Linked DNA regions of Styela clava. The protein of the gene in region 2 interacts with the protein of the main gene of each other region in a pairwise test. Links are inferred from orthologs where the notes say so. Each region holds a gene or a part of one and is shown on either strand. Other genes may lie near its edges.

Region 1 (15,769 bases), on a different chromosome or scaffold from region 2:
TTTTATGACAAAACAATGACATTATAAATTTGTTTGGCAACTTATAGAAAGCAAAGAATATGTGAACACAAAAAAGTATGACCCAAGGTCAATAACTGAATAAAATTGATTCGTTCCAAAATTCAATCTAAAGAATTCACAAATATTAATAATACAAAAACACAAATATAGCATTGAGCATCGCTGATAAATATTACAAAACTTACCTTGTCAGCAGCTGAAATAAATCTAGGATGCAAGTTGAAAGTCAAAATTGATTCCCTTAAAGTTTCCCTCAGAAAATCTTTTACCAATGAGCAGAGTGTATGAACATCTTGAACCTTTATAAGAAGGAAATATATATAAGTTGTCTTGAATCAATTATTGTGTTTAACATATGATAACAAATGGTTAAATATGCAAGCTGGGTAGAAATCGATGCTATTTTGCTTATATAATGAAAGTTCAAGTACATAATATTCTCCAAATTGAACATCTTCCCCAAAGGGTTTAGTAACAAGTGTTCTTGACAGCAGAGCCTTGAAGAGATTCACTAGTAGTTTGGGGTATTTGTATTTCATATTTGAGCTTTGTGATCATGATTTTAAATAATTTAAATAATATTCAATATAATTGATAGCTTCCTGTAAATTCACAGAACCGGGCAAAAGAAATAAAAAAAAATTTAAGGGCTTGAGCAAAAGTAAACACTTAAGAAACAGAGCTAGGCAGGAGATTCCAAAAAGTTAAAGGCAATTTAACAACATATACCTTCGATAAATCAGGCACCGTCTTTCCCTTCAAGAATTTTTCCTTCAGCTCACGTACTGCACGAACCATACCTGGCACTCGATAAAGTCCAACCTCCTACAATAGTTATAAAAAAAAAAGTCAAAATATTATACCAGTGAAAATTTTCCATGAAAATTCGATCGAAACAAGTCATGCGCATTCACTCAGTAGAAAAGGAGAATATTGTCTGAGTCAATTTACATACAAGTTGATACAACCAACCAAAATTATGCCCTTAAGTAGAATTGGGGCAGTTTATTATACACCAACAAATGCTGATTGATGTTGATACTTGAATCATTTTGAATCAATACAATGAAAAATATTTCCAATAAAAAGTTTCTCTAAAAGCAGTCAAAGTCCAATCACAATTTTAACATATTGCATTGAGGCCTTGATATAGCTGAAGTATAGGTAATTGAAAAACTTCCTGCAAAGTAAAACATTCACCTATATATACATCACAATCACAATATCCTGATAGTTGAAAATGATATGCTAATCCTGCATGTGAGACCTCCACGTTATTTGCTACTTTATACCAATTCTTATTCATAGTGAGTGTATATCTTTCTGCCCATGGTCTAAGCATTATTACCTGCATCCCACGCCGATCAATCTCATGAATTGTGTGGTAAATAATAGGTGGAATTTGTGGACTTTCATCCGAATGCAGAAATGCCTCCAATCCTTCCGCACCTTGAAATGGCTGGATAAGAAAGATGAAATAATAATGATTGAGATAAAAACTACAAAAAATTTAGTAATTACCAATGAATATAGAAGAATTTTTTTATATATACCAAAAATATTTTATCTAGTTTATTTATTATCTATATATATATAATATATATACATATGATTGATATGAATGCCATTTTTTTTATAAAGTCGCAAATTAACTTCCTGCAATCAAAATTACTTAATTAAGTTGTTCAGTAACAATAACAGAATAGAAAGAATAAGAAATTTTACCAATAGTATAAACGAGAATATCAGTCAAGGCACTCAAGACCGAAGACTTATCGATCGAAAGTTAGGGGATCCCCAAAACAGCGCTCTTACTCCATAGTGACACCTTGTGTCCCATCACTAATTAATTAATAACTCGCTAATTATACGACATAATTCGTCCAAAATCAATAGGATTCTGGTCCAAGATAAGATGAATGCACATGCAAAATCTGGCGTAGATTCAATCTCGCTTTCGTGAGATATCGCGTGCATCTAACAGACATACAGACAGACAAATACCTATCAACATACTTACCGATTAAAATCGATTAGTAATAAAACTCTAACACAGTGATTCTCATGGTGGTCCGGGGCCTGAGAATTTTCAAAATGGGCCTACAATAAGTCCCAAGAAATGTAATGGCCAAAATTTAGTCCAAGTGTTGAAGTTAATTTTTTATATTATTGAACAAAAAATTTTTTAATAAACCTTCCATGGGCCCAACAGTTTTTTGACACTAAAATGGGCCACAAGAGAATAAAGGTTGAGAACGACTGCTCCAACATACTTTATCGTTTGAATTTCCGCCCGAAGGTGAATACTGTGATGGATCACACTGGAATTCATGAGCCATGATTTCACATTCAGGATGCGTAACCAAGCGACATTCAGCACATTTCATTGCTCTTTTTCCAAACTGAATGCGTTTTCCACACTAAAATAAAAGTACTATTGATAAGAAGAGGTACCAATTCAATTTTTTTCCAAAAAAAAAAGTAACAATTTTCAATCAACTCACTGGTTTACAAGTTTCCTTCACAATAACACAGGGTTTAGATTGCATGTTGTGAGATCTTGCAGATTTAGTTGGTGTTGTCTAAAAAAAGGCTAAAATTATAATTGCTCATTTCCAGCAATGTCTGTATTTTCTCGTAAATACGATTCAAAATTATAGACTTGGTAATGAGTGAAAAGTAGCTGACTGCCTGTGTAATTACCAACCATGAAATACAATGCCCAATCCTTTGCAGTACGACCATCCCAAAAAACAGAATCCAGGCTATTTGGAACATGTCTAGAAAGAACGTAACTTTTTGCAAAATAATCCATGAATTCTGTTTCTTATAATAGAGCCTGTTTGGAATGTACAAGGCCATGTCCTCCTACCTGTATGCTTCTTAGTATTGACTTGGGCTTTGCGCTGGGTTCAGGTGCTGTTGGCCAGAATTTATCCACATCGCTCTGTGGAGCTTCTGATTCGGAAGATACTGAAAACAGAGAAAAGTTATGTATATGACAGAAGTAACATCTTTTTCGTTTAAATCATATTATTTTAATTTGAATTAAATAGGTTATTTCCAAAATTATATATTTTGAACAATATTTCAAACCACCAACCATCTGAAGAACTCAATTGATAACATTCTACCAACATTTTATCACAACAATATACCTAATTGTAGCATACAACACAAACTAGACAGGTAGTCGATTCTGACATACAGGATATTCGAACATACAGGTGAAGTCTAGCTATATTAGTTTTACATGAACTTTCATGAAAAACATGAATTCTCTTGGAAAATAAAAATCCAAGAGTTTTTGCAGGGCAATAAATTTACGAATAATTATATTGTTAACAATTAGTGAAGAGCAAAGCTATCTTACATCCAGCACTTCTTCTTCGATGTTCCCTAGATTGACGTCTTCTACCTTGATGTGGAGCAGGTCTCGTAAAACTCTTCTCCAACCTTTCAACACTGACTGTAGTTGGTCCATCCACAGTGCAACGAAATTGTTCATTCGTTTTCTGTGTTAAATAAAGTGGATGTTAAATTTCAATGTTATAACTGGAATTTACAGACTTTGGATCATAGTAGATATCTTCAGAGTTGGGTGTGCTAATTTATTTCGATCTATATTGTACTGAAATCTTGCTATATTTTCAAAATGGTAACTTTAAATATTAACAGAAAGTTTGAACTTGTATATTTATGCAATTAATTTCAACAAAATTGGGTTAGTCTGAATAAACCAACATGATAACATCATAGATTTATTCAACACCTACTTGTTTCATTTTGAAAAATATTATATATTTTTTATTACACACACAAAATTCGTCCCGAATTCCTATTTGCATACCACAATTTTGTCACATAATAAGTCTAGTTATCAACCAAAAGGCAGGTTGAGGTAAAAAAAAACTCCCACATTTTAAATTCAATAAAAAAGTGGGAGTTGCCCCACCCTGTATGATTACGGTAAATGGATTATGAGCTAAGATTTGAAAAACATCAAATGTATTAAGGCCCAAATTTCATCACACAGCTATGCATGCATTTAACAGTATGTACAAATTCGTGCCCATTATATACCAAAGTGCAACTTATTTTGAGTTGAGAATTGAGATTGAAAATACTGACTGATAGAATGATTTAAAAGCATGCGATTGTAAGAGAAATGAACTCAAAAATAAGGTCAAACCACATACCAAATAGTAATTGCCTCCCACCGCTGCTTGATAACTGTTGTTATGTCCAGGACTATGCTATGGACAAAATAGTCTTAGATCATGCATATGATAGTTGTAATTAATATTGATTTGGAAGTATTCAGAAAATATTACATTTTTAATCATAGAGTAGCTAATATTTCAATGATTTGATATTTTATAATGAGTTGTGGTCACACAATCCTCTCTCTATGTGAGTAGAAGAAATCTAAAACTCTCAAGAAGTAGTGGAAATCTACCACCAAGTAAATCTCTATCTATTCTAAACATCATAAAAAAAGGGATATCCGGATATAAAATGCCATGCAAAATGAATTACAAACAGTTACTTGTGTTAGGAATTTATATTCGAGTTGTAAGTATTATAAGAAAACAAGCATGAAGTAGGCAAAAATAGTGGAATACGTACCACATCATATCTTTGTCTCTTCGATGTTGAGAATTGGTCTTCATCATTGTATGCTGCTTTCTAAAGAATATATTGCAGAAAAAATCTTCAGACCAGAATTTTAAATTGAGCGAGCCTGAGTCTTTCATACTCAACATTGGCATGACACATTCTACTATTGAAATAAAATATTCTTTATTAAACGCCCATTAGCGAAGATTTTAAAAGCAGTCTAAACAAGCAGTCATAGAATCAATTGAAAAAAATTTAAAATACCGAGACGCTAAAATACCAATGATTCATACTCGTAGTAATATACATTTATACAATATTTTTGACGCTTACCCTTCCCATCTTAGCTCGTCTGTATTGCTTCCCATTGCGCAAAGTAGTCGCATCAAGATCGTCTTCTGTTAGGTCGAAAGAAATATCGGAATAATCAGAAAGAATGGATCCAGTCTCATCGATACGCTGAAGTCTTCTGTGCATAGTACGACCACCACGAGGTGACGCGAATCGACTGAAAAGATCATTACGACACATTAATAAATATGCACATAAGTTTAAAGAAATTCACATTACACCATTATAAGATAGTTCTAAATGATCATCAACACAACATCAAGTAACCTGGAGTTGAGAAAATCCAGCTTTCCACGTTGTTCTTCATTGAGGGGAACAGTTGTCCCAGTATCATCACTGAATAATAAGTCTCGCACCAGCATGATTTGTTGATCCTGAAAGTACAAAGTTAATTTCAATACAGAGTGTGAATTTCGAATACCTTAGTTCTTGGCGTCACAGATTACACATATCAGGATCAAATCCAATGTCCCCACTTTAATCCAAAATATTTAGGTCCTCTCAAAAATAGCAACACTTTACATGTATAGGAACTTGTTCAAAGCAAAAGACATGAATAAGTGAGGTATGTAAATGTTCATCTTTCATACCTATGAACATCTTATTAAATCAGCTATTGTTGAGCGAACTTTTTGGGACATAACAATGGATTTTGTTAAGATGAACGCTGGAAGAGTACAATTACTTGGTTGGATAGCTGAATTTAAAAAAAAAAAATGCAGTAACACCATTCAAAGCTTCCATACCTGTTAAGTATTTTATCATTACTCAGAAAATGAAAATCATATCAAGCAAATGTTATTTAATAAGCAAAAGTTAAATGGGAAATCTACATATTATTTCAACCAACATGATTCGATTTTTACTATTTTAATTAAAAGATATTGTGCCTGGCTTTTGGAGATATTCTTCAATGTGATTTATTTTATTCTAAATACTTTTGTATTCTGAATTATTACCAATTCATCTCTGTCCTGTTCAGCTTTTTGTCGTTGCTTCAACTCAACCTCGATCTGTCTTCTTGCATGTTTCAGTTTTATCATTAAAGCATTTCTCTCAGCTTCAGTCTGTAGATTTCAAAATTGATTAACAAATGAGGCATAAATGAGGATCAGGTTTGGGCATAACGTATGAATATGACAGTCTAAACTAAAGTTTATTCAAAAATTCTTGCAAATATTAGCAGTAAGAATAATATTTACGAGTAAAGACCAGTAACGAGATAGTATTTCAAACTTTTTGATGTAAACCATTTTATTTTTACAGATTGGAATGATCTAATAACAACTTACTCAAGAACAAACTCCAGGTACTGAGGTATGCTTTTTTGTGAAAGGCATTATCATTAGGAACGGAGGTTGAAAACTAGACAACAGCTATAGAAAGTTTGTGTAGATATAATGATATTAAAAAATAGAGTTCCATAATAATGCAGACATATAGTATTAATTAACCAGTCGAACTTTATTTACGGTAGTCAAAGAATTGAAATAAGCTTGACCATTTTCATATATAATGTAATATTACTTTTGTCAGCTTTTCCTGAAGGTCTTGCGCCAGTTGTTCAGCCTGATATCCTATTTTTCGAACAGATTCAAACTGACTTGCAAATTGTAAGAATTCTAAAAAGTAAGAGCTTTTATAATTTTGTTATTGACCTGGCCATTTAGACCTTAAACTTCTTATGAAATAAAAATATTTGAGTCACATTAAATACAGATACAATATTAATAAAAATTATACCAGGTTCACATCCACTGGTTGCCAAGATCCTATATCCTCTTAACACTTGGTCCAGTTGTGTAACAAGTGGTAGCTTAGAGAATGTTTCAATGGACATATCTGAGCAGTTATCAGATGTTGTCTACTCACAGTATTTGAAATATTTACAGATTTAGGTAAATCTGAAAAAATAAAGCAACAAATTAGGGCCAATTATATTGCATTTAATTCTTCTTTTTCGATACTCATGGCTGTATGTTGCAGAAAACAATATGGCCAACTCACGCCTCGATGGATATAATTTATTATATAAGCATGGCGTGTTATGAGTCATCTGCTGTCGTACCAGACGCCCTCACTTCAGAGATAAATAGAGTGTTTGTCCTTGAACCGAACCGTTTTATTGAACCAAATGTCAGGACATCTCGCAATCGGAAAACTGTGCCTGCTACTGCTTTAGGACAGTAGGAATAATTATCTACGGCAATGAGAACTTTAGACTACGAAAAATGATGTCATGCACAGATGCCTAGGACAGCATGATGTATGCTAGTCTATAAAATAGCCAAATATCAGTACGGCACACTTTACAGATAGAGGGACATTGTCTCGTTTCAGAGAATCCCATTTTGCCGATAAACCTTTGGGGAACGGCTGGACCTTGTTATCCCTCAATATCGGTAAAAATACAGCAAAATGAAGTTGCGGAAAAAACTACAAAGCACAATCTAAAAACGTCATCATTGAATTCCTTGAGAAAAAATAATCCGATTTACCATAGAAAAAAAATTTCTACTGTGACATTCGAGAGTTTTTAGCAAAAAACGGCTATTTTGATCATGTGACGGCCACGATTAATTTTGATTATTATCGAGACGAGGACGCCCGTTTGTGAGACACATGGAGTATTTGTTTTATTGAACCAAATGCAGAAATGACAATTCTAAGAATTTGGATAGTGCTGTAGTGTGCAGGAATGAATATGGTACAGTAAAAATATTCAACAACCTAAAATTTCATTACTGCATTATGACGTTGCCAAACACTTCGAAATTTCATATTTCACATCACATTTTTGTATGGCGTTATACAGTTATATAAGCACTTACATCATTCATTTTCACACATGATAGGCCTACTCATCTTGTTTTAATCTTTTTTAAAGGATTTGCTCCCTCTCCAGAATTCTCCATTTTTAATTTCAGAATTTGTTTGTATTGCAGTAGGCTATTCAGGTATTGTCAGATTGTGGAGCTTTCAAAATAAACCAACACACTTTTCGGTACTCCTGAAGTATGCGCACCAAGATGTCGCATAACCTGAACCCTAACCTGGAACACAACCTGAGTTCAGGTTGTGTGCCATCTTGGTGCGCATACTTCGGGAGGTCCCATTTTTCATTAGTCTGTTAGTGGAGGGAACTTTATACAAAAGATTCAATAATTAAGCTTTATCAATTCCATCTCTTATACCGTACAGACATTCCATGTCATTTCAGCATTTACTGCTGTACTGATTTACGTTACCGGTACCGGTATCTATCTAGAGATCTATCACACCACATTCTGACATTCGTGTTCAGGGTTATTTAAGCAATTACGGCGTTTGCTTCGCGAGACCGCAAACTTCTATCTACTTATTCCTATACAATAATTCCGACCAATAAATTATAGCCTAACTAGATCATCTACGTAATGACGATACCTAACTACCGAGTGGCAGCACAGCAGTATTGAACGGTGAGAAGCTACGCGTACCGGTGTGTATCTGTATCCCGGCTTCAAACAACAAATGTCCCGCCGCTTCTCGACCAATCAGCATATCGTAGATCATCCACATGACGGCGCCTGCAACAATCAATGGAGGGCATATCTGACAGTGAAATAGGGGTGCTCCCGAAGTATGCGAACCAAGATGGCGGACATCGGAACTTAACATGGGTAACAGGTTAGGGTTAGGCGATAATTTCTTTCCAATTTTCCTCATTTTAGTCCTATTATCAGTTCGAAGACTAGCCAAGAGCCTCCCGTAGTATTTATACCTAAAATTATGGCCTAACCCTAACCTATACACATATTACATTCCGATGTCCGCCATCTTGGTTCGCATACTTCGGGAGCCCCGGAAATAGGATAGGATTTACATATTTATCCCGGGGAAGAGGAAAGCCGATAAGACGGCTTATCCATATGGCGAACCGCCGCCTCTCGTCCGGTTACCATTCCAAGTCGGGTATGGGATTAGTTATATTGCTTGTTTTCGGAAGCATGAACTTGGTGGTGGAGGAAGGCGTAACCGACCAGCGGTTACGTGAACCACCCAACGACGGCGAGGAGTCCAGCAATCCTCTCGCACATAACCATCCCTGCATGGGATTCGAACCTGCGAACCCACGCAGAGTAATTAGAGGTGCGGTGGCGAGCGTATTCCTAACGCTAAGCCCGTTGAGCCACACCACCGCGCCAACCCGGAGATCTGTAATTTTAAATTTGCTGGAAAGAGGGAATTCTGTAATGTTCGACAAAGGATTTGCCATCGGGAATCTGCTGTAAGTAAAAATTGTAGATGTCCCGCCGCTTCTCGACCAATCAGCATACCGTGCTTGCAACAATCAATCAGACAGGGCATATCAGACGGTGAAAAAACCCGGAGATCTGGAATTTTGATTTTACTGGAAAGAGGGGATTCTGTAATGTTCGCAATGGATTTGCCATCGGGAATCTGCTGTAGGGCAAGGTGGGGCACGTTGGGACATGGGGCACGGTGCAAAATCAGCTCTCGCACTGTTACTATATTCAGATTCAGATTCAGATATTTATTTCCGTCATGCAAGAAATCCTGTCCGCGGTTCGATGTTTCAATCCGCCCTCCGGTGAGTTACAACGTCCCCGCGAACGGACAACGGACGGGTAGAGCGGCGCAAGCTATGAGGTGAAATTGGTTTTGGGAGGTTGAAACTAAAATTTCACCGTTTCAGTTTTTTCTTTTTTCTACTGTAGCCTTCCCAACATGACAAACCACCGTCTGATATTTTTCAGCTTTAGTCCACTGTAAAATATTCATAACGTTGGCGAGTGGATGTGCCTTCCGAATTTCGCCGTGGGATGGTCTGAAAATATTTGTTTCCTATGGGGAACAATGGACCTGGGTTCAGTGGGACATGCCCTACAGGGCACAATTCGACAGTGTTTGATACAATAAGTGCTTAGAGACCTAGAAATGCGTTATATTTTGTGTAGTATTATGGTTTCTTTCGACCCATGGCCCAATATGGAATATATTCGAGAATCAATAATATTTCCACATTTAGATTCCCGGAAGGAAATAATCAGTTTTATTTGCAAAATTTTTTATCCAAATATCTGAACTATTCCAGTTGAACATTGATTTAAAAAATATTAAATCTTCAAATTCGAAGTCTCTCTGTTCTTTAGACCAGTGATTCCCAAAGTGGGCGATATCGCCCCCCGGTGGGCGAAAACGATACAGAGGGGGGCGAAAAAGTCGAAGGGGGCGACAGGGGGGCGATTTCGCGAAACCCGTTTTTGTTCGGCGCATCGTACACTTGGTTACTGTACTCTGCGTGCTTTCATAAGTTTGAATCACGTGGGTGATTATCACAAGCGAAAGGATTGCTGGACTCGTCTTCGCAGTAAGGTACGGCAGTTTGCGTATCCCAGTGGTCGGCAAAATACGGCCGGAGTAAAATAACCTGACCCGGGATGCTTCACTGAATGGACCTTTCCCCGACCTTTGACCCCGGAAAATGCTTCCTATACTTTACCATTTTAAAATTTTCAGTGCTTATTTTGAGTGGTTTCGCGACTTGTTGCCTGTAAAATGGGGTATTTGTTTCAAACTATCATTCTAATTCATACCATTCAACAATTTGTTTTTTAAAAGTACCGGTGAAGAATTTTATCACAGCTATTTCTGTACTAATTTTTGATTACTGTAATTAAACTGGAACTTCTAGGAAGACAAAGTGATCATTGACTTATTCGATTTATATTTGAATTTCCGAAAAAACAACTAAAACTAACGAATATAATTCAAAAACGCGAAAATGAGGTGATTTTCACGACCACGCCTGAAAATCTGTCTGAGTGAGAAATGTGTCTGAGTGGATGTAAAAGGGAGCATTGTTACGTTTATTTTTGCATCTTGCTGATTAGCCAATGTCACGAAGTAAACAAGGAAGTATATGCCCGGGGAAACACCCAAGCGGCGGTTTTGACTAAGAATTAATTTTATTTATAATCTACGCTCGAGGAGTAAATTACATTTTTTACGTAACAGAATTTATCGTGAGACACGTTTAGACTGAATTTCATTATATCCTAAAAATTCTACAGCTACTCATTTAACGAGCCTACAATTTAATTATAATTAGACAAATGGAAACACGCAGAAAAGTTGATGTTGAGTGCAGGGGTTCAATAGCGCAGTAAATTTTTCGAATATATTGCAATGCAATGAGGAAATTAAATTCATAGCCTATTCAAGAGATTCGTTCACCGCTTAATTTTTGTAAGAATGTATCTTCTTTAAAAAAATCTTCATCAAAATTTCACAAACCATGCGAAAATATTCACTTCGATGTTTGAAAGTACATATTTGTGCGAACAATTATTTTCGAAAATGAACATTACAAAGAACTAGGATTAGTGATGTTCATTTAGAAAATGTTCCAATCTTGTCGTCGTAAGGCTATCAAGCGTAATACAGCAACAAGACAATGTCACAATAAATGTCATCGTAATAATTTTTCAATAGGACGACTGAGTTGAGATCACGAATTGTCGCAGTTTTCGCACGCTGTTCCGTTTTTAACTTTTTAAAAAAATATATGCGACCCGTAAAAGACTAGCAACCCTAAATTTTGTCCCGCGAGCGACATAAAATTTGCCGACCCCTGGGCCGTATCCGTTAGTTGGTCACGACTTCTTCCACATCCGAGTGCACGAATCCCAAACAATCGGCTGATTAATTCTATGGACTGGATGACGTGATAGGATGAGGAATCGGGGATGAATTTTACCAAAGGCCGTTATATATCATGTATTTTAGTGCAGGTCATCAGGCTATAGGGATGAACGAGATGTACGAAAATAATTAATATAAGTTTAGAAAGAGTAACTTTGTTTTCATTATTTTAATGTGAAATGGGGTGTATTTAAGGAGTTAAATGCTATAGGGCAAGAGTACACGGCGGTTTTTGAGAAGATAAAACCCTGGATTGTTTCATTTCCGACCTCTTATATGATGAAAAGGGATTTTCTGCCGTGCTACTATTGCTACCAAAACAACGAAATCGCCTTTCCATCAGTAAACGGGGTAATTTTAGATATAATAATAAACTCGCTGACGAACACCAAGCTCATCCATCTCATTAAAAAAGACTATAAACTATGAGTTGTCTTCTTATTTGGTCTGTAATATATGCGTTCTGGCTTTACATTTTTTTTTGTAGTGGAGGGGGGCGATGAAGTTGTATAAACTACTTTAGGGGGGCGATGGTCAAAAAAGTTTGGGAACCACTGCTTTAGACGATTATGCTGATTAAGTGCTTATTTTTAAGGGCATACTTCGTTGAATTTTGGCAGACTGACCCATTGTGCCCCAGAGTCTGTTCGAATGTGCCCCACAAGTGGGGTACAGTGGAACACTTGACAGACGATTTTCAAAGCATTTTGGTAATAAAATGTGTGTCGCAAGGAAATTTCTTAGTCGCTGAATAAAAACTACATTTACCCCTCTATGCATTAGTCCCGCCAACTTAAGTGAATATGCTGAATTAACGGCTCAAAATATGCAAAAGAAAAAAAGTGTCCCAACCTTCCCCACTTTCCCCTAAGCGAAAATTGTAGATCATAATATTCCTTCATTTCATTTTAACAGTAGGTTTACATGTGATGAGGCATTGCAATCCAGCAAGATTGCTTCACATACCAGTAGAAAGAGCTATCAGAAGAGTTGAAGAATATCAGTTATCTGGATGCAGAATACCACTGAATATGCTAGAAACAGTTAAGCAAATATGTACTGTTGCTTGCCTATTAACTAAATTCAGCGGCCCTTTGTTTTAAAAGTAGGTATTCAGTTTTGTTTTTGAGTTTTAGTTTGTTCATTGTTACAAATTATTTTAAGTTCAAGCAGTTTAGTTTATCAAATACATTCAGAACATATTTTATGTCTTTTCAAGAAAAATCTTAGATTTGTTTGTATGAGTAAATGGTGTGGGTGTTACAACATTATCAGATCAACAGTTAAAAGAAGAGGGAAAATTCAGAATAGCCTGTTATACCCCTTGTCACGTCTGTTTCCACTAATTGCACTATGGCAAATACACAATTGAAAGCCCAAAGCAACTGTAAATACATTCAAAAGCAATAAAATACATAAATGATTGGGCAATAAAACATTTACAACAGGCATATTAAATTTCTTCTCTTCATATAAAATTAAGCTTCAGAAGTTACAAAAAAAAAAAAATTGTTGTCCTCAAGATGACATGTTTGATGCAACCGTGTTTATGAAATGATAATAAAAAAAAGCATTCTAGACGCATTTGTATGTCCAGAAAATATGCATCATTAAAATATATAAAATAAATAAAACATGCACCTGAAGGTAGAGAAATAATGATATCAAACCACTTGAGTCCTGTGATTCCTAAACACCTCATTTTAGAAAATAATAATCGTGATTCATTTTCAATGTCCATTCCCCTTTATCATTTTTGAAAAGACGAGAAACCTTGTCAAAAGTGTCAGACAGCGGGCATTTGATTCTAATAAGCCATAGCATAGTTTGCCATCACAAGATGGGTTGTAAACTTTGCGATCTGGTGAACATCCCAACCAGGGACAGGTTGAGATATTACTAACTCACGTGGGGAACACTGGCATATTTTTATTTCCTCATATAATTTTTCTGGTTCCATTTGGATACCTCTTTTTTTATCGCTACAGTTTGGGAATTTTGAAGGAGTAAGATTTGATGCAAGGGAGTCGTAAATTTTCGTTGTTGGTGCCAAATTGGAGAGTTATACTGATTTGGAGTCATGCATTCAATGTGTTTAGAATCTTCTCTGCCCAAAGTAAGATTTGGCATCACTTGGTGTTGCATTTCTGTTAACACTGTGTTAGTTTGTGGTAACAAACTAGACAGAGGGAGAGTGGAAAATTAATAACTTTCCTCATCCCATATCTGTTGATATGCTATAGACTATAGAGGATTCCCAAATGGTGCTTGTCCAAAATTTATTAATATGTTTACAACAGAGAATGTATTTGACGGCAAAATTGTATTCAACTGAATATTATATTGATTCAAATTTAGACATCTCAGCCATTGCGTAATTCTTCCAGGTTTGTGTAGAGGGCTTCGAATTGTCCTGATGTTTTTGATTCTGATCTGACCATCGTCTGGTGCGGACGTGGTACCGGCATTTGGCGATGGAATACTGAAATAAGAGATTTTTTGGACTAAAACTTGGAAACCCGGACAAAAATAATTCCTTCAGTGAATCTGATTTCAGAACTGTACCTGTAACCGATTGGAGCCGAAAAGAGTCTGCAATCCTGGACAAAAATAAGAATGCTGAACTATTGGATCTGCGCGAAATCACTATAAAATACAAACAAATGTTCAGAACAATGAAGACCAAAATATAACCAACATATGATACTAATTAATGTAAAGAATGCCCTCGATTCATCCGAAATCTATAGAAACTTTGATTGTTAGTTTTTATGTGCAAAAATTGGACTGCCTTCAAATTTTTCTAGCTGTATGTATGCGTGTTCTGGAGTTTGATTGTTTTGCACTTTTTTTTCACATCTCATGTGATTATCGCCCAAATACGTTGATTTGGCTCAAACGTGTTTGTGACCGACACACTGTCGTCTTTATTGTCATTTTTTTACAACTTGAATTAGTGACTCACTTTTTTTCACATGGGACAACCAAGGAGGCTTTTACTGCTGCTCATCGATTTTTTTTATTATTTTTAAATATATATATTATTTGCGTTCCTTTTGGTAAGCGAGCACGTACATTGCGCGTTATAAACTTTGTTCTCAAGTTTCGCTCGTGTTCCGGGCATTTCTATTATATATATGTTTTGTTGGTTTCATCGTCAGTAGTTTATTTTTTTTTTTTTTTATCACATACCAAAAGTACACAGTAGACATCGAGTTTTGTGTTCCATAATGCCGAAATAAATTGTATTGTATTTTGAATAACAACTCAGTAGGCTACATTGTGCCGCCGCAAATTTACAAATAATGAATCGATGACATCTTGCTTTTATTAAAAATTCTGAACATCTTGGAAAACTGTAAAAATAATAATGCAAATTAGTGATGCTGTTTATGAGTTGCAACTTAATTTGCCATCAAGGGTTGTATATTCAGCATGGTTTAATCGAAACCTATTCGTAATGAGATTAGATAAAGTATTTCATACTCCGCCATTGTAGAAAAATGCCAACAACAGACGGAGATTTCAGGAAAGTTGTGTAATTTATAAGCTGCCCCAGCCTTATAGCTCCCCTTTAAAAATAATAAACAATATGCAATGCAAAAAGTTGGTAAAACTTCCCAGCTAAGCTCAATCAAATAAGCAAAAAATCTTAGAAATCTCTGTTTCCACTTCGGAAAAGCGACGTAACAGTATTCGATTTGCCAGCCGAACAGACAGATTTTCTGGCATGGTTGTGAACATGACCTCGTTTTCTCGTGCAATTTGTCAGTTTTTGTTTATGTTTCGGAAATTTCAGTACAAATTGAAATATTACTTAATTATTCTGTCTTTTTATATTTAATTACAGTAATCAAAAGTTAACTAACAGTTGAGGTTGAGTGAAACTTAACTACCTCTCCTTGCTCTATATGTCATTACGCAAGGATGCTGTAGCAAGAGTGTAAATGGCTATTGCACACGAACACAAATATATTTCTGTATCGTTTCGATAGGTAATTTGGAGACCTTTAGGAGATATCCCTGTTGCTACGAAGTGCCTTAGATTCCGCTTGTGGTGTTGTAGCCT
Region 2 (15,923 bases):
TATAATAGTATCTTCAATAATTTTCACAAAGACATATAAAGAATGCATATATAAGATTGTGAATTCCTATCCATTTGATTGTTGGTTACATATACTTTAGTAAAAATCAGCAATGCTTTTTCGTTAGAGTTGAATGAATAGTCAATAGATCTTCTAATATATATATATATATATTGAAATAAATGAAAAATAGGTATAACGAACTATCACTTTTTAAATCGATGAACGTGGCCTGCATTTGTTATGTTCTATCTGTGACCCACAATACCCAGTCTTTGTGTTTTATTGATCTAGAATTTACTATTGCAAAGAGTTGGAGATGAAAGCCTTTTTGTTTATTCTGAGTAATTTCCAATCACTCGCGAACCTCCAAGAATCTTGTAGTGGTAAGACGTTGATGGAACTGGATGCCGATAGTCTGCGGAAAATTCTTGAAAATGATGAACTCAATGTGAAAAACGAGAAGCTGCCTCTTCGTGTCGTTTTGAGGTTAGACCAGGGGTCACCAATTTTTTTTTTGACTGCAGACCAGGTATGACTCAAACTGTGTTGAAACGGGCCGGACAAATATTTTTGTCAATGCAATACAATAAATTTCCAAAAGTAAGAAAATCCTTTCAATTTATTCAACAATACAAATTCTACATTTCTGAAGTCTTGAATATTAAATTCTATATCGCAGAATATAGATCAAGAACAACATGAGGTTACCTGTTAAGATAACAATTGCTGTCATGAATATTCGCATGTAAGCAGTACAAAAGTTAATGTGACTTGTACTATTAGCGTAAAATTCACGTTCGACGTTTATTTTAGCACGAGAAACGTACACAGCAACGGCACGCGCCACGAGTGTATCCTTCGCGGAAACGCTGCGTTCCGGTATAGAATTTTAGAAAAATAGTGATTGACTTACTTGATTCATACTTAAATTTCTAAATCACGATCAAAACTAACGAATAGCATTCAAAATCGCGAAAACGAGATATCATTTGAAACCACAACTGAAAATCCGGAGCGAATGCGAGAAGGTCTATTGTTAGGTCACGTTTTGCATCTTGCTGATTGGTCAATGTTACGAAATAAACAAGTAAGTCGATGCTCGGGAATACATCCCTTGGAAAAAATGCACCTTGTTTTCATGTTATTGCGGGCCAGATGAAAAGATGCCACGGGCCGCATCCGGCTCGCAAGCCGTAGTTTGGTGACCCCTGGATTAGATAGTCAAAACTTCTCATGTCTACAACACAATTATATATATATTCATTTGTAAACGGCATCGTGTCATGTAAATAATATTTTATGTCCCTTTTTATTCAAACAAGGGGTGTATATCTACATATATATCTTAATTTTGATTCCGTCGTCTTCAAGTACATTCTATAATCCACAAGATAAGCTGCTGGTTCTCACATATGGTCATTTTATATTCCACTATTTTAGCCACTAGTTTTCATTCATACACTGCAGAAGTTGTGTAGTATCTAAAAAAATTCCCCAAAATTTTTTTTCTCCAATGTTTGTGGTTTGAATTTTGAACATCCAACGCTAGCCCACCCTTTTGATTTAATGGAGTTGTTTTTGACAGCTGGGCTAGTAGTCCAATCAATCGTCATCGCCAAACGGATTTCTTCAATCTTCTGTTCTCCGTCAGACTAGGTTTGTTGAAAGCGGAATTCATTGAAGCTTTTGTGAGAAATCACGACCTCGTAATATCATCTGCACGATCGAGGTAACTTGTGTCAAGTTTTTTAAATGTTGTTTTACTAATTGTTTATCTATGAATGCTATGGTATATATATATAAGATTCTGCTTTGGAGCTCGAAATATTTGACATAATTTTTTAATCATATTATATAGTCAAGTATTAGTTTCTTGCCCTAAATTAGTATTTTTAACGCAGATCCCTCATAGAAAAGCAGATTCATTTATCGAGGATGAAGGAAAATCTTGGAGACAATAAAGCAGCTTTCACAAAATTTGCTACCGATGTTGGCACCAAGTTATTTAATGCAGACATATCATTTCCACCAACATCGCTAGAATGCGATATACTGCGCCTCACTTCGAGGCCTCGTTTTCCGCGAGAAGTTATTCTAGTCGTGGGCGGATGGAGCGGCAACGCTCCTACATCATCTAGCGAGGCATATGATCCTGTGACTAGAACATGGTGTGATACAAATATAGCGTTTCCGACGCTCTTGAAGGTAAGCGTCGGCGAAAATCTGTGGTTTATATTGTTAGACGCAATCTTTCTTTCTGATGTGATCCATATTTTCCATCCGACTAAGGTTCCGTAACAGCTGTCGCCTCGCAGTAGGACGCATACATACGCATGACTGGGTTTTTTATATATACATGACAATTAACGGCACAAAATACCTAATGTGTATAAAGAGTAACTAGAGTATATTTTCGATTGCAATATCTCAAATCGTTTGACGACCTTTAGTGTTAAGTAGACTACTTCTGATTGCGTGTTATTCGGGGAAATTGAGAAACCAGGCACGCCATTTTTGGGAATTGCTCCAGAAAAAATGCTTCCCAATCAGAGAGTATATTTTGTTATAATAAATACCAATGAACTACACCTTTTTGACCACGTTTATGTTTACTAATGTGCAAAATATATACCTAATACTGGCTGTTATGAAAGGTATTGCCAGAATCTTTTTCACTATACCTATTTTAGCACCACTGAAGTACATTTCACAGAAGGTAATAGTGAAAGAAACTAGAGCAGAATCTGCAAAACTCTGCTGTCATATATAATACTGGGTGACCGTACATTTGAACCCATGTACATTTGAACCCATGTCTATATCCGCGGGTTCAATCAATATGCAGGTGCTGAAACCCATGGGTTAGGGTTAGTATGGGTTCAACTATCCGTACAACAAAAAAATTTCAATAGGTGCAATAGTATGCAGGTGCAATTGTCATGGGTTCAAATGTACGTGGGTTCAAATGTAATGGAACCATAATACTGTACTGATTTAGTAAAAGCAATGTAATCAACTGAAAACTTAACTATTAAATTCTATAGAAACCCCGAGCATATCACGGCGTGTGTTATCTTGATGGAATGTTATATGTTGTTGGTGGATTTGATGGTCAGTTAACATACAATTCCTGTGATCGTTATAATCTCATATCAGGAAAATGGAAGAAAATGTGTGGAATGCATCACAGGTATACTTGCGCTCCATGAGCACGAAAACGTTGATACATATGAAGAGAGAAAGGATCAATATTTGTGACCGCGCCGTACTCGATAATATGAGCCCATAATATGGGTATTGGCGATTACTACTAAACACTGCATATACGAAAGTATACTGTACTGGGAAATACAGTGATATGAATAAAAAATTTACCTCAATTGTTTATTATTTATTAATACCCAAGCGTATGGTACATTTGGTGTAATTATGTGCAAATTCGGTATGTTTCAACTTATTAAAATCATAATGTCACACTTGTAGGAGATGCTACGTTGGAGTTGCTGAACTTGATAAATTGATTTACGCTGTTGGTGGATCCGAAGGTGGAGGGGAACATTTAAGATTAAAATCCGCGGAGAAATATGATCCGAATGTTAATGTCTGGACTCGTTTACCCGATATGACTGAAAGAAGGAGCGATGCAGGTAACATCTGATCAGAGAATGTAAATCACATTTTTAACAATATAAATATACTAAAGCATGTGTAGTCGGAACTTATCAGTCTGCATAAAGTGAACAAATCTGTTGAAATCAACGATGAGAGAGTAGCATGACGGACTATATCGTGCCAGCCAACCTTCAGTCGTTAATTATTATATATATATAGTTTGTATGAGCGCAAAAACAAGCACACGCATTGTATTGACATGCTAACACTATAGAATTAACTTTTGCTTGTGGTAATTTAATGTTAATAAAGTAATACTTTCATTACAATGCATTTCATTGAGTTTAAACTTTGGGAACGTTTGTATTGGGGCATTTGAAATATAATTCTCCGTTTGTTTCAGGTGTATGTGGGTTATCTGGAAAGATATACGTTGCTGGAGGTTTCACTGGACACCAATGCGTATTTTCTGTTGAATATTTCGACACAGAATCTCAACAGTGGTCACGCATTATTCCGATGCGAATTCCTCGTTCGGGGGTCACTGTTATAGCCTACAAGAATCGCGTTCTTGCTCTGGGTGGATTTGATGGAAATTCTTCCAGGTTGAATAGTGTTGAAGCTTACGATCCACAACTCAACTTATGGACGACATGGCCCGATATGTCAACTGGCAGGTACCATTATACTGATCAACAATTTTATATATTAACTCGGATTCGATCCACTAATTTTAAACTCACTTACGTACATTGGCAGGTCCAACTTTGGTGCGTGTGTGCTCGGAGGAAAACTTACTGTTATGGGTGGATTCAATGGAGTTTCCACTTGTTGCAACGTAGAATACTTTGACGATGAAGGCGACTCGGATGACGTAATTGCTGGAGGAAGTGACGCTGAAGTTCCTGGTCCGAGTAATCGATTGGCTCGGCACGGCAACGATAGCCCTTCGTATGAAGGTAATGGAAGCGGCGACAACGATGAAGATAATGCGGATGGTTTGAGGCATGTTTTAAGACTACAAAACCTGAGGCCCGAAAACTTGCCTGCCAATCGTGAAATTCCGACCGGAGTTTGGCGTCGTCTGCCGGATATGAAAATCAGTCGAAGTGCACTGAGTTGCTGTGTGGTTAAGAATCTCCCACCGCCTTTTCTACGGTCAGTGGTTGCTCCTCTTGAATCCTCGGGGCATCACCCAGTGGCAGGATCGACGCAACAATGGGATGCTTTGGATAGACTAATGGCTGTTTGCATTCAAAATACATTTCATAACAGTTGAAAGTGCCATTTACTACTGGTTGCTTTATTGCTAACGCTGTCATTTTTATGAATCTCGATTTCTTCTTTTTTCCTAACTTTTTTATTCATTCATGTTTTTGCGCCATTTCTTTGTTGTCCACTGTACTATGAATCGTCAGTTTATTTATTTAGACATATTATGAGTTTCCGTTGCTCGTATTTTTGTTTTATACGCAATTTCATTAAACAATAATGATATAATAATATAGAAGTATATTGAAAAAAAATGATGATTTCTGACTCAAATTTATCGATTTGATTATGCTTAATATGCGTTCCACATATATTCTTGTATTTGTCAAAATATGTACTTTTAATTAGAGCTGTTATGTTTAAAGTTAGATCTACGTAAACTATTTATTTTTTGTTTATTTTAATAGATCTTAGGTATTTACTCGGCATTTAATCCTATACATTTGTGATATGATTGTTTGTCATATTTATATGATATTTTTATACATATATACTTTGTACATATATAAAATATATATATATTCACATACCAACTGGTATCAGTCTCTTTATATTTATTATTGTCTTACAATGCGAATACACTACAAAGTTATAAATTCAATATACAGCAACCTGTCGGGTAAACAAAATTTATTTATTTCAATAACACAATTTGTACCAAAATATTAGGCGCGTACAAAATTGTTACAAACCACGCGAGATATTTTCAACATTCGTTTCAAACTTACGCTCGATGTTATACCTAGGCGACGGTCTTTAGCATTATATCACGATTCTACTGAGTAGATAACTGAGAACACATTTCAATAAAAATTTACAATGCTGTTTTGAGCCGCTACATGTGTTGTACGTAGCAGTCCGAGGTCATCACATATAGAGAAAAATTTACTTTCAACTAATATATAATTGTCGAACAATGGACCTCTCCCCGACCTTTGACCCCCGAAAAATTCTTCCTATACTTTACCATTGCAAAATTTTCGGGGTTATTTCAAGAGTGCTTTTGAGAGTTGGCGCCTGTGAAATGGGGTATGTGTTTCAAACCATCATTATGATTTATCGCATACAACAACCTGTTTTTTAAAGGTACCGTTAAAGAATTTTAGCCTAGTCTATCACAGCTATTTCTACACTAATTTTTATTACTGCAATTAAATTAAAACTCCTAGGAAGACAGGGTGACCATTGAATTATCTGATTTACATTTAAGTTTCCAAAACACAACTGAAAACTAACGAATAGAGTTCAAAAATGCGAAAACGAGGTAATGTTTACGACCACGCTTGAAAATCTGTCTGAGTGAGAAAACTGTCTGAGAGGATGCGAAAAGGAAGCATTGTTACGTCACTTTTTACAATTTGCTGATTGGCCAATGTCACGAAGTAAACAAAGAAGTCGATGCTCGGGGAAAGGTCCATGGGAATATATATACTTCGTAGAAAAGTTGAAAATTTAATATACAGCAACCAACCTACCAGTGAACAAATTAAAAATTTGTTTACTTGTCCGAGATCATTACATACAGAGAAATATTTACTTTCAGCTAATATGTTATTGTCTTATAAAGGTAATATATCTACTATAAATAAAATTTAAAAATTTAATATACAGTAACCAGGTGAACAAATCAACGTAATGTGTACTAAATAATTACGCGTTTTTATTCGCCAACCCTCTTGATATTTTAATCTTTTTCTATGACGAAATAATATAAATTTCGCTACAGCGAATTCGTTTTAAAGTCAATGAAGTGTTTCGGCGGGGATATCCGAAAAGCCTTATCTTCTGTGGGCGCAAGCATTTTGATTTGTAGACGTTTTACAGACTATTTGATCACGTTAGTCGCGAAGGGGCGAGTGCATGCTCCATAAAGCTAGAAATTCTTAAACATTTTTAGTATTTCGATTATTTTTACGAAAATATTGTTAGAGATTAGATAAAATGTGTAAAGTCTAGTATGCTAGTGCAGCAGTGTGGGCTTTCAGTGTACTGGTGTAGGATAGGATAGGATAGGATTTACATATTTATCCCGGGGGAGAGGAAAGCCGATAAGACGGCTTATCCATATGGCGAACCACGGCCTCTCGTCCGGTTACCATTCCAAGTCGGGTATGGGATTAGTTTTTTACTGTATTGTTTGTTTTCGGAAGCATGGACTTGGTGGTGGAGGAAGCCGTAACCGACCAGCGGTTACGTGAACCACCCAACGACGGCGAGGAGTCCAGCAATCCTCTCGCACATAACCACCCCTGCATGGGATTCGAACCTGCGAACCCACGCAAAGTAATTAGAGGTGCGGTGGCGAGCGTATTCCTAACGCTTAGCCCGTTGAGCCACACCGCCGCGCCCGGTGCAAACATTGTCTGATTGTAGAAACTTCAGATGCAACTGGCGAATGTTTAGGTCACTGATATGCAAATTTTTTTTTTTTCAGAAATGTGAAATGTGACACAATACACAATTAACATATTTTTTATATTATTGTTTTGCGTGGGCACTACTGCACTAGGCACACTTAACAGATCGAGAGACATTGTCTCATTTCTGCGTAAAAAATACAAAGAAACTCAATCTAAAAACGTCATCGAATTCATCAGGAAAAAATAATCCGATTTATCTAAGAAAAAGTTTTCTATCGTGACCAAAAACAGCAATTTTTGTCGCCTGACGGCCACAATTAATTTAGATTAATATCGAAACAAGCATGGCGTGATATGACGCATCTGCCGTAGTGCCAGGCGCCCCTCGTTTGTGAGACACATGGAGTGTTCGTGTTTTATTGAACCAAATCACGGGACATTCTCGCGATTTGTATAGTGTACCGTACTGTATTATTGTCACTTATGTAATCTTTTTGTATATGCAACGATACGAAGATCGATCAGGTTATAGTAGGCAATTTCCCCTATTCTCCACAGCTGGGTCATCATGTTACGATTTCACTCTCGTAATGAGATGACGTCAGATTTAATCTTTCTATTTTCTAGGTAGCCTATAACAGTATTAGTTGTCTTGATTTTAAAGCAAGTTCGCCTTTTCTCTGATTCAAAGCCAGAATGGAAAGTCGTTCTTTTTGAACACTAAATTTTCTTGCAGTCGTTTTGATTCTCATTCCATTCATAATTCTGTATGATTCACTTTATTTGTCGGTGAACTATGCCGTACTGCATTCTGAATTTTACCTAAAATCATATCTTTAGAACATTGAGTATAACTAATTTTGAATGTATTCGATTTCTTCCGGGCATTCTCGGTGTTGCATCGAAATATGTAATCAAGATCTGCAGGTCATTGAAAGAAATATAAATGAAAATTCATTTCCGTCATGTAAGCAATAATAAGGATAAGTAGAGAAAGTAGACTCAATATAATTCTTTATCTTTTTTATGCAACCCTATAGGACATAATTCAGTAATTACCTTTATTTACCAAAGATCAGAGTTGAAAAAAATACTGAATATTGAGTGACCGATATTTTTTTATTGAAAATCATTTTTCAACAGTTCCAGAGAGTGCTTGAAGCTGGTGTGAAGACGGTATGAGACCTCAGTAAGTGTCGAAATACATTTATAATTCATTTTATACAAATTAGCTTTCGAAGGGCTTCTTCAATTGATGACTGGACATTCGTATGCGTATCTTAACCATGTTTAAATTTTAAATTATTTGAATTAATAATTTTTTTTGTTACACAAATACCATAAATAAAAAATAAGTATAAATATTTATTATAAGAATATCATTGTATTTGATTTCAGACGAACACCAGCAAAAACTCCAAGGAGAGGAACTCCTAGATCAGGAGGTCAAATGGATCCAGTTGAGGTCGGTTTCGTTTGTTTTTGATGAAGACTTTTATAGGTGTTTGTTCTTGATATGTTTGATGGATATAGTTAGATATGGTTCCTGTTCTAGAATCCTGTTGTATTTGGCTTTCTAGCATTCTGAATGGCATCATCGCCTCATAAATTGTGATTGTGATACCAATAAAAAAGGATTTTTATTTCATTAAAAAATAGAGTTTCTCAAGTGAATCCATCTTCACCTTGCAAAATCATTTATGGTAGTTCCTAATATTGTTAGTATCGAAACGTCTGTAGCATTTGTTGGAAGTGCCCTCTTAATTTTTTGATTATGTAGTGCAAAATTTAGTTGCATCCTCTTTCTGGAATCGTGATTCTAAGCACTGACTTTCTTTTTTACCATAACGAGTTTGGCCCCCCAAAGAAACTAACATTCATTATGCCCAGTTCTGCCAATTTCTAATTTGATTTAATCTTTTTTAATTGCGGTCTTTTTAATTAAGGTCTGCTGCAGAGTTCGAACACTTCCCGCTGACGCAGAAGAAAGTTGTATTGAAATTAAAGATGATAAAGCTTTACGGATGTCAGCTACTGATGGAAGAGCTGTACGTAATACTCTCATAATTTAGAGTTTTTGTTCCGAGTATTATTCCCACACACTTTCTAGTAGATAACATTTGCTATTAATTATTTCGATCCGTGTCGGAGAACGTTTTATAGAAACTGTTAACTGAAATTTCGCCAGATAACTCAATTTTAGGTACTCCTGAAGTATGCGCACCAAGATGTCGCATAACCTGAACCCTAACCTGGTACACGACCTCTGAGTTCAGGCTGTGCGCCATCTTGGTGCGCATACTTCAGGAGGTCCCAATTTTATTTGTCTTATTCTCAACAGATTGAATGCCAATTTTCAAGGATTTTTGGTGAAAACATAGGGCAAGATGGAGTATTTAATGTTGTTGCCAAACCAATGGTTGATGGGATGCTAAAGGGGAAAAATGGTGAATATTTTATATCAATTAAAACATGTCTCTCTCCTATTACCTTCGAAAACTGATTATTTCATTAGAGCGTTGCAAGTTCAAATCTTTTTGGAGATGCATACAAGGCTTTTAAGTATAGCATATTTAGTGGCATTTTGACTTTGATCATCAAAGTCTGAGATTTTGACTTTGACTTCGATCAACAAAATTGATGACTATAACTTCACTCCCGCTGAATACGTGCCTCCTTGTTATGTGGTTCAAACAATCCGTAGTTCGTGTATGTGAAACTATTATATTAATGGCCACTAAATTTTTTCAAGTTCATGTATACACTATGCAGTAGAGATTTTTATGTGAATATTTATTTCCGTTTCAGGCCTTTTGTTCACATATGGAGTTACCAGCTCAGGAAAGACATACACTATGACAGGGACAGTCGATAACCCTGGCTTTTTACCAAGAAGCTTGGACATGCTCTTCAATTCATTGGAGGGAGTGCTTGCAACAAAATATGTAATTTGCATTCATTTTTATTTGAATTGCTTTCAAAACTGGATCAGAAAATTACAAAAATGATAATGTTTGTTTAGTCAAAATAAATAAATTCAATAAATAACTTTGCTTTGTAGAAAAAATATTTTATTTGATGTGTTGTCTATTATCTTACACAAATAAATAAAGATTATGCACTGTGAAGGGGCGAACAACTGAAATATAGGCTAAGTTTGTTGAATTTGAGAAATTTCAGATTTTGGGGAGAATTCGAAAAAGCTCTCTAGAGCTTGCCATTTGAAGCAATGAATATCTACCAATCATACTTAAAAATATACTTTGCAGCATTTTCATAAACTTGAAAACTTTATTTTTTCAGTCGTTCATCCCTGATAACATGAATGGTTTCTCCGTACAACCTGAAGCCGATGCAATGCTGGAAAAACAAGAAAGAGAAATTTTACCAAGGACAACAACACCCATGAAAACACCAAATAAGTAAGTCACAAAAAAAGTAACCCTGACTCAGTCATTTTTTTTTCTTCTTAAAATAGAAGTGTATAATCAAATTTATTCTGTGCAATTAAATTCTCAAATGTCACTAATTATAGTAATGATGATGACTTTTTTCAATGTTTATGTATATACATTGAAGATGCATGCTTCAGGGCAGGGGTCGGCAACCCCTGGCACGCGTGCCAATTGTGACACGCGAGAGGATTTCTCATGGCACGCCAAGTGATTTGATGCAGATCAGATATTTATTTTAGTTGTTCTACCAAAATTCTACATTTGAACAAAAATTAACAATTCGACAAATCCTTTGAAAAAACATGTAATGTTTAACTGCAACGACGGAAAGCCGAAATTGTTGCCACTTTTCGTTACTTTCGGAAAAGCGATGGATCAGAGGCCTGAATCTGTACGGGATTTCAGTGTAGATAAGCATATGCGGTGCAGCGGTGCCAGATTTGGCTACTTTCAGAAACGCTTCACTACCTGAAACTACTCGTTCACCCACTAGCAACTTTTTATACTATTGTTGGGTTACTTTTTGCCCTTTGATAATCGTGAAATATTGAATATTATTACATCAATTCATACCATTCCAGCAAAAAGTTGTACGAATCGCCGATTATTTTTGTCAGCGTGACGTGTTATTTTGACCGTAGACACTTTTAAGTCAGTGTTTATTCTCCCAGAATCACAAAAAGTATTTCACGTCAACGATAATAACTATTTTCTTTTTGTATTCGCCCAGATTTGTGAATTGGCTGAGAGTTATTACCGGTATACAATAATCGGCAGCGAGTTGCTAAAGTCCAAAAGGAGTGGAGCAGCGACACAAATTTTTTTATTGAAAAGTGGCAATATAAAATACTGAAAATAAAACAGTAAATAATTTGTTGTACGAGGCCCGTGACAGATTAAAAAAGCTTCTTTAAGCATTGTAAATTGCAAAATTTCGTGTGCCTATTGCACACATAAGTTTGAGCGGCATTGAGAATCATAAGGCCATTAGAATAGGAACAATTACTTTAAATTGCCGTTGGGAATTTTCGTGTTAATATTATACAATTCATATTATAAGTTTGGAAACGCGACTTTTTCCCCGAGTCGTGTTGAGATATAAGATAATTAATTAAAGTATATTCAATCAATTTTTATTGTACCAAAATAAATTTTACTCCGTGAGCTTTTATAGCAGATATTAGGATTTTTTTAACGGTTTCATCATCGAAAACAAAATCTGGGTGGCAGCATTGCGATAGAGCGGAGTCATTTTTGCAAGTACAGCTCAGATTTGTCAAATTCGCAAAATTGGAAAAATACGGATCAAAACTAGATATAACCGGGAAGTTTACCACACATTTTTATTTCCGCGGATTGATGTGGTATTTTAGGGTACTGATGCGTATGCGTTTATATTGTCGACGCAACTGCAGGTTAAATTGAAGACAAGTAAATTATAATATAGCAAGACATTTTAAATATGGCCGTATCGGTCATGGATTGATTACTTTGCACAACAGAAAAATCATTATATATTATCCGTCGAAAAAGACGTGGGGATTTCGAGGCGATAAATATGTATTTTTGATTTACTGATATACTTTATATGTATTTAATTGTACTCTACGAGATTTTACAGATCTTGAGATTTTTCTAGCGGCGATAACGAATTCGCAAGATCACAAAAAAGTATCGAAACTAAATACACTCAGGCATGTTTATCTCATATTTTATACGTCAACAGATTGAGCGGTATTTTAGACTAGTAATGTTTATATTTTGACGCAAGAAGACGCATCCGCGAGTTACGTTGGACCCAATTATATCAAGATAGAAGGGAATTTTATAGATTCTCGTAGCTGTCATGAATTGATTATTTTACGCGACTAATAAGTCGGTATACGCTAAAAAAGTCGGTTATTTTTACGAGCGTGTAATCACGGCGACTGTTTCAGAAGGGAAAGGAAATTTCCCTTGGAAATAGGAAATATGCAAACCACATAAAAATGTTTGGCATGCGCAGGTGCTCATTATTCATAAAATGGCACGCAGAGTTCAAAAGGTTGCCGACCCCTGCTTTAGGGCAACGGTGCACAACCTGCGGCCGTCGTGAATAAATAATGCGGCCGTCCACAATACTCCACATACAAAATCCTATTGACCAAAAAAAAGTCCAAAATATAGGATTTGGCGGCTATGTTGGCGTATATTGGAGCAAAACAGAGGTACTGCAAAAAAGGATGGTATATTTGCTGTTGGGGATTTTCCTTCACGGTTCAGATTGACCACGCGTTTGCCAGCATAGCAACGTAGCAAGCTAGCCTAGCAAGGCATCCGCAGCTTGAAGTACCGGGTACCTGGAGAATTAGTACCGAACCAGATTGTTAGACGCCAATCTGGAGTCTGAACAAAGGCTGATGGTATCCAGCCAGTTACCTGACTTTGCAAGTTTATCTGCCCACATGCAAGACCAAGGGAGACCAAGATTGAATTGCTACAATGCTTTGCAAACTTTATAGAATAAATTCATTAAAATATTTGACATTTTATTATACTTTTGGGGACAAGAAAATGGGGGTCTCCCCCCTCCCGGACTTTGGTGGATTTTTTTCAAAATTGTGCAACCATTATGCAACTTGCTGCAATATATCTGCTCAAGAATAGGTCCACCGAAAAGAAAAATCCGTTTAAAATGCGATTATTATACTTCCAAGTAGTCCTACATAATTCATAATTGGGCAAACTGCACATCACATGTGTCAAATACGCGGTCATGATGTCATAAAAGCCAAAAAAAATTTGCACGCTTTGGACACGCTCATCAGTTCTCTGGAGGCCGTATTGAATAGAAATAAATGCAATGTGGCCGCCAATAGCAAAAAGGTTGTGCACCCCTGCTTTAGGGTTATGGATTATTCACAAAGTTTATATTTTATTTTTGAATATTTTAATTCATATTGGTGAAGTTAGCAGAAAGTTTGTGGCATATGCCAATTTTATACTTCATGAAATATAACATTGATTACTCTTGTCCCTTCAAAAAAGGTTTCAGTCACCCAATCCAGCTGGCTGTGAGCTGCCACTCGTATACAGTCAGTGCACCTTCCAGGCAAAATGGCAGGAACTACTTAACTCTCTCATCACTATTATTCTTTATAGTCTTAGTAGCGCTTGGTATTTTATTGGTCAACCTAACGTCACTTTTATATTTTTTTATTGTAACAAAACAATACCTTAAAATTACGCAGAGGTCAATCTCTTATGAGTGAGTGCGCGTGACCTTGTCTTTTTAAACCAAACTTTTCATGAATTTCATTCAAGCCTAATTCTTTAAAATCTTTTTTTTCTGTTTTAGGAGCAGAAATCGTCCAGACCTTCGATACGAGATAGATTATTGCAGATCAGAACATGTGAATTCAGACATGAGATATGCTGTTTTCATTTCCTATGTTGAAATATATAATGATTATGTTTATGATTTATTGGAAGATATACAATATGATCCGTTCAGTAGACCAAAGTAAGTGATTACCTTTTGATCATTTTTTGTATACGATTTGGATTCTTTTTATATTTGATTAGTACAAATTATTGCTCAATATTTACTTAGACCTCCGCAATCCAAAAGACTCCGAGAAGACAAAAAACACAATATGTTTGTTTATGGAGTAACAGAAGTTGAAATAACAACAACAGAAGAAGCTTTCAGTGTTTTTAAAAGAGGTAAATCTATATTACTGTTATTTAACACTCATTTTCTGTGATGTACTTGTTGCGTGTAGTTTTATTTTTCGTTCAAAATATGCTACGTTACTCTAAGATGCGTTGGGGTATGAATTAGGACAGGGTTTTTATAATGGGTGCTTGGGCACCCAAGCGACCACGGAGGTTTCGCCATGTAGGCTACTTCTCAATAATTAATTTCAATCAAATTAACTGTGAATTGTTTAATTCAAATTTGCCCATTATCAATAAACATAGAAAAAAGAATAACTGATATGAACTTATCAAAAACTAAACTAGGTAAACAGGGGCCCACAGAGTATTCAGAGTCTTTTTATGGGAGCCATGGGTCATAAAAGTTCGAGAACCACTGAATTAGCAATCTAAACAAAAATTACTTTTATTTTACTTTTTGCAATCTTTGTGCAGGTCAAGAAAGGCGACGAATTGCACACACGCAACTTAATGCTGAGTCAAGTCGTTCTCACAGTATTTTTAACATAAGACTTGTCCAAGCACCTTTAGACCCTCTCGGAGAAGATCTGTTACAGGTACTTGCATATCTTAGCTTTAGATACTGTAAATTGTATCATATCACCATTTCACTAAGAATAATGGAAGTTTCAGAATATTTTTGGTAACTTAGCCAAATAGCCAGTCGATAATCTGAATATTTTGCTACTTGTCATTCGCCCGATGTCAGGGACGTTTTAGGCTAAAAGTACTTTTTCCATGTAATTGTAGTTTATTACCTTAAATCTTTAAATGCAAAGCTTCTCAGTTCAATTATAGCTCTAAATTATGCAGTAGGCTACTAAGATAACAAGCCATTTTGCTGTTTCTTCCCTTTTGGTTCACTTTACCCCATAATGGGGTGGTGGATGAACTAGCCAGGCCCCGAATCCGAGATCTCTGATATTAATTTGCTGCCTTATTCTGTTGAACCAACAATAATTCTTTATTGAATACAAATCTTCAGGACAAAAGTTTGATATGCGTCAGCCAATTATCATTGGTCGATCTAGCAGGAAGTGAACGACTTGCTCGTACTGGTGCTGGAGGAGAGAGATTAAGAGAGGCTGGAAATATTAATAGTTCTCTGATGACTTTGAGAAGGTAATTAATCAATTTTGTGTTTTATAATATTCTGCATTTTTTATCTTTATGTAATGGAAATAAAGATGTGCTTATCTGAGTAGTTTGGTAATATAGAATATAATCTCGGAATGATCAAATGTTGAAATTTTATTTATTGAAATCCTCTAGCCATAATTATGCGGGCCTTGTATTCGATTGGCATAGGGCAGGGGTTCCCCAACCGTGGCCCGCGGGCCAAATGCGGCCCGTGTAACGATTTAAAATGGCTCACCGAGCTCAGGTAAAATAGTGTTTAACAGATTTTGTTTGCGTTATGAAAACTAGACTTAGTAAACAGACATTTTTTGGCAACGGCGGTAAATCCACTGAATCCCAGCTAAACAGTCGCGCACTTTTGGCCGCTAGACTCTCCGACCCG

Evidence for each region.
Region 1: the proteins of kinesin-like protein KIF23 (region 2) and rac GTPase-activating protein 1-like interact in a two-hybrid assay, tested with the Drosophila melanogaster proteins (3 studies listed by BioGRID). The link is inferred for Styela clava from reciprocal best matches to the Drosophila melanogaster genes pav and tum.

The regions. Positions count from the first base shown.
Region 1 is NC_135259.1:2,656,627-2,672,395, forward strand, and holds the start of rac GTPase-activating protein 1-like, read right to left. Parts: upstream 6,915-15,769; 5' UTR 6,833-6,914; coding exon 6,736-6,832; intron 6,615-6,735; coding exon 6,520-6,614; intron 6,060-6,519; coding exon 5,952-6,059; intron 5,367-5,951; coding exon 5,260-5,366; intron 5,150-5,259; coding exon 4,975-5,149; intron 4,711-4,974; coding exon 4,651-4,710; intron 4,278-4,650; coding exon 4,221-4,277; intron 3,537-4,220; coding exon 3,395-3,536; intron 2,995-3,394; coding exon 2,894-2,994; intron 2,604-2,893; coding exon 2,526-2,603; intron 2,442-2,525; coding exon 2,295-2,441; intron 1,481-2,294; coding exon 1,370-1,480; intron 847-1,369; coding exon 751-846; intron 321-750; coding exon 207-320; intron 1-206.
Region 2 is NC_135250.1:9,098,080-9,114,002, forward strand, and holds the start of kinesin-like protein KIF23, read left to right. Parts: upstream 1-8,285; 5' UTR 8,286-8,425; coding exon 8,426-8,436; intron 8,437-8,645; coding exon 8,646-8,712; intron 8,713-9,193; coding exon 9,194-9,295; intron 9,296-9,588; coding exon 9,589-9,694; intron 9,695-10,055; coding exon 10,056-10,192; intron 10,193-10,550; coding exon 10,551-10,669; intron 10,670-14,039; coding exon 14,040-14,204; intron 14,205-14,294; coding exon 14,295-14,407; intron 14,408-14,836; coding exon 14,837-14,958; intron 14,959-15,386; coding exon 15,387-15,523; intron 15,524-15,923. Other genes in the region: uncharacterized protein LOC120346194, read left to right, coding at 295-489, 1,589-1,732, 1,905-2,208, 3,048-3,193, 3,487-3,650, 4,019-4,292, 4,375-4,894.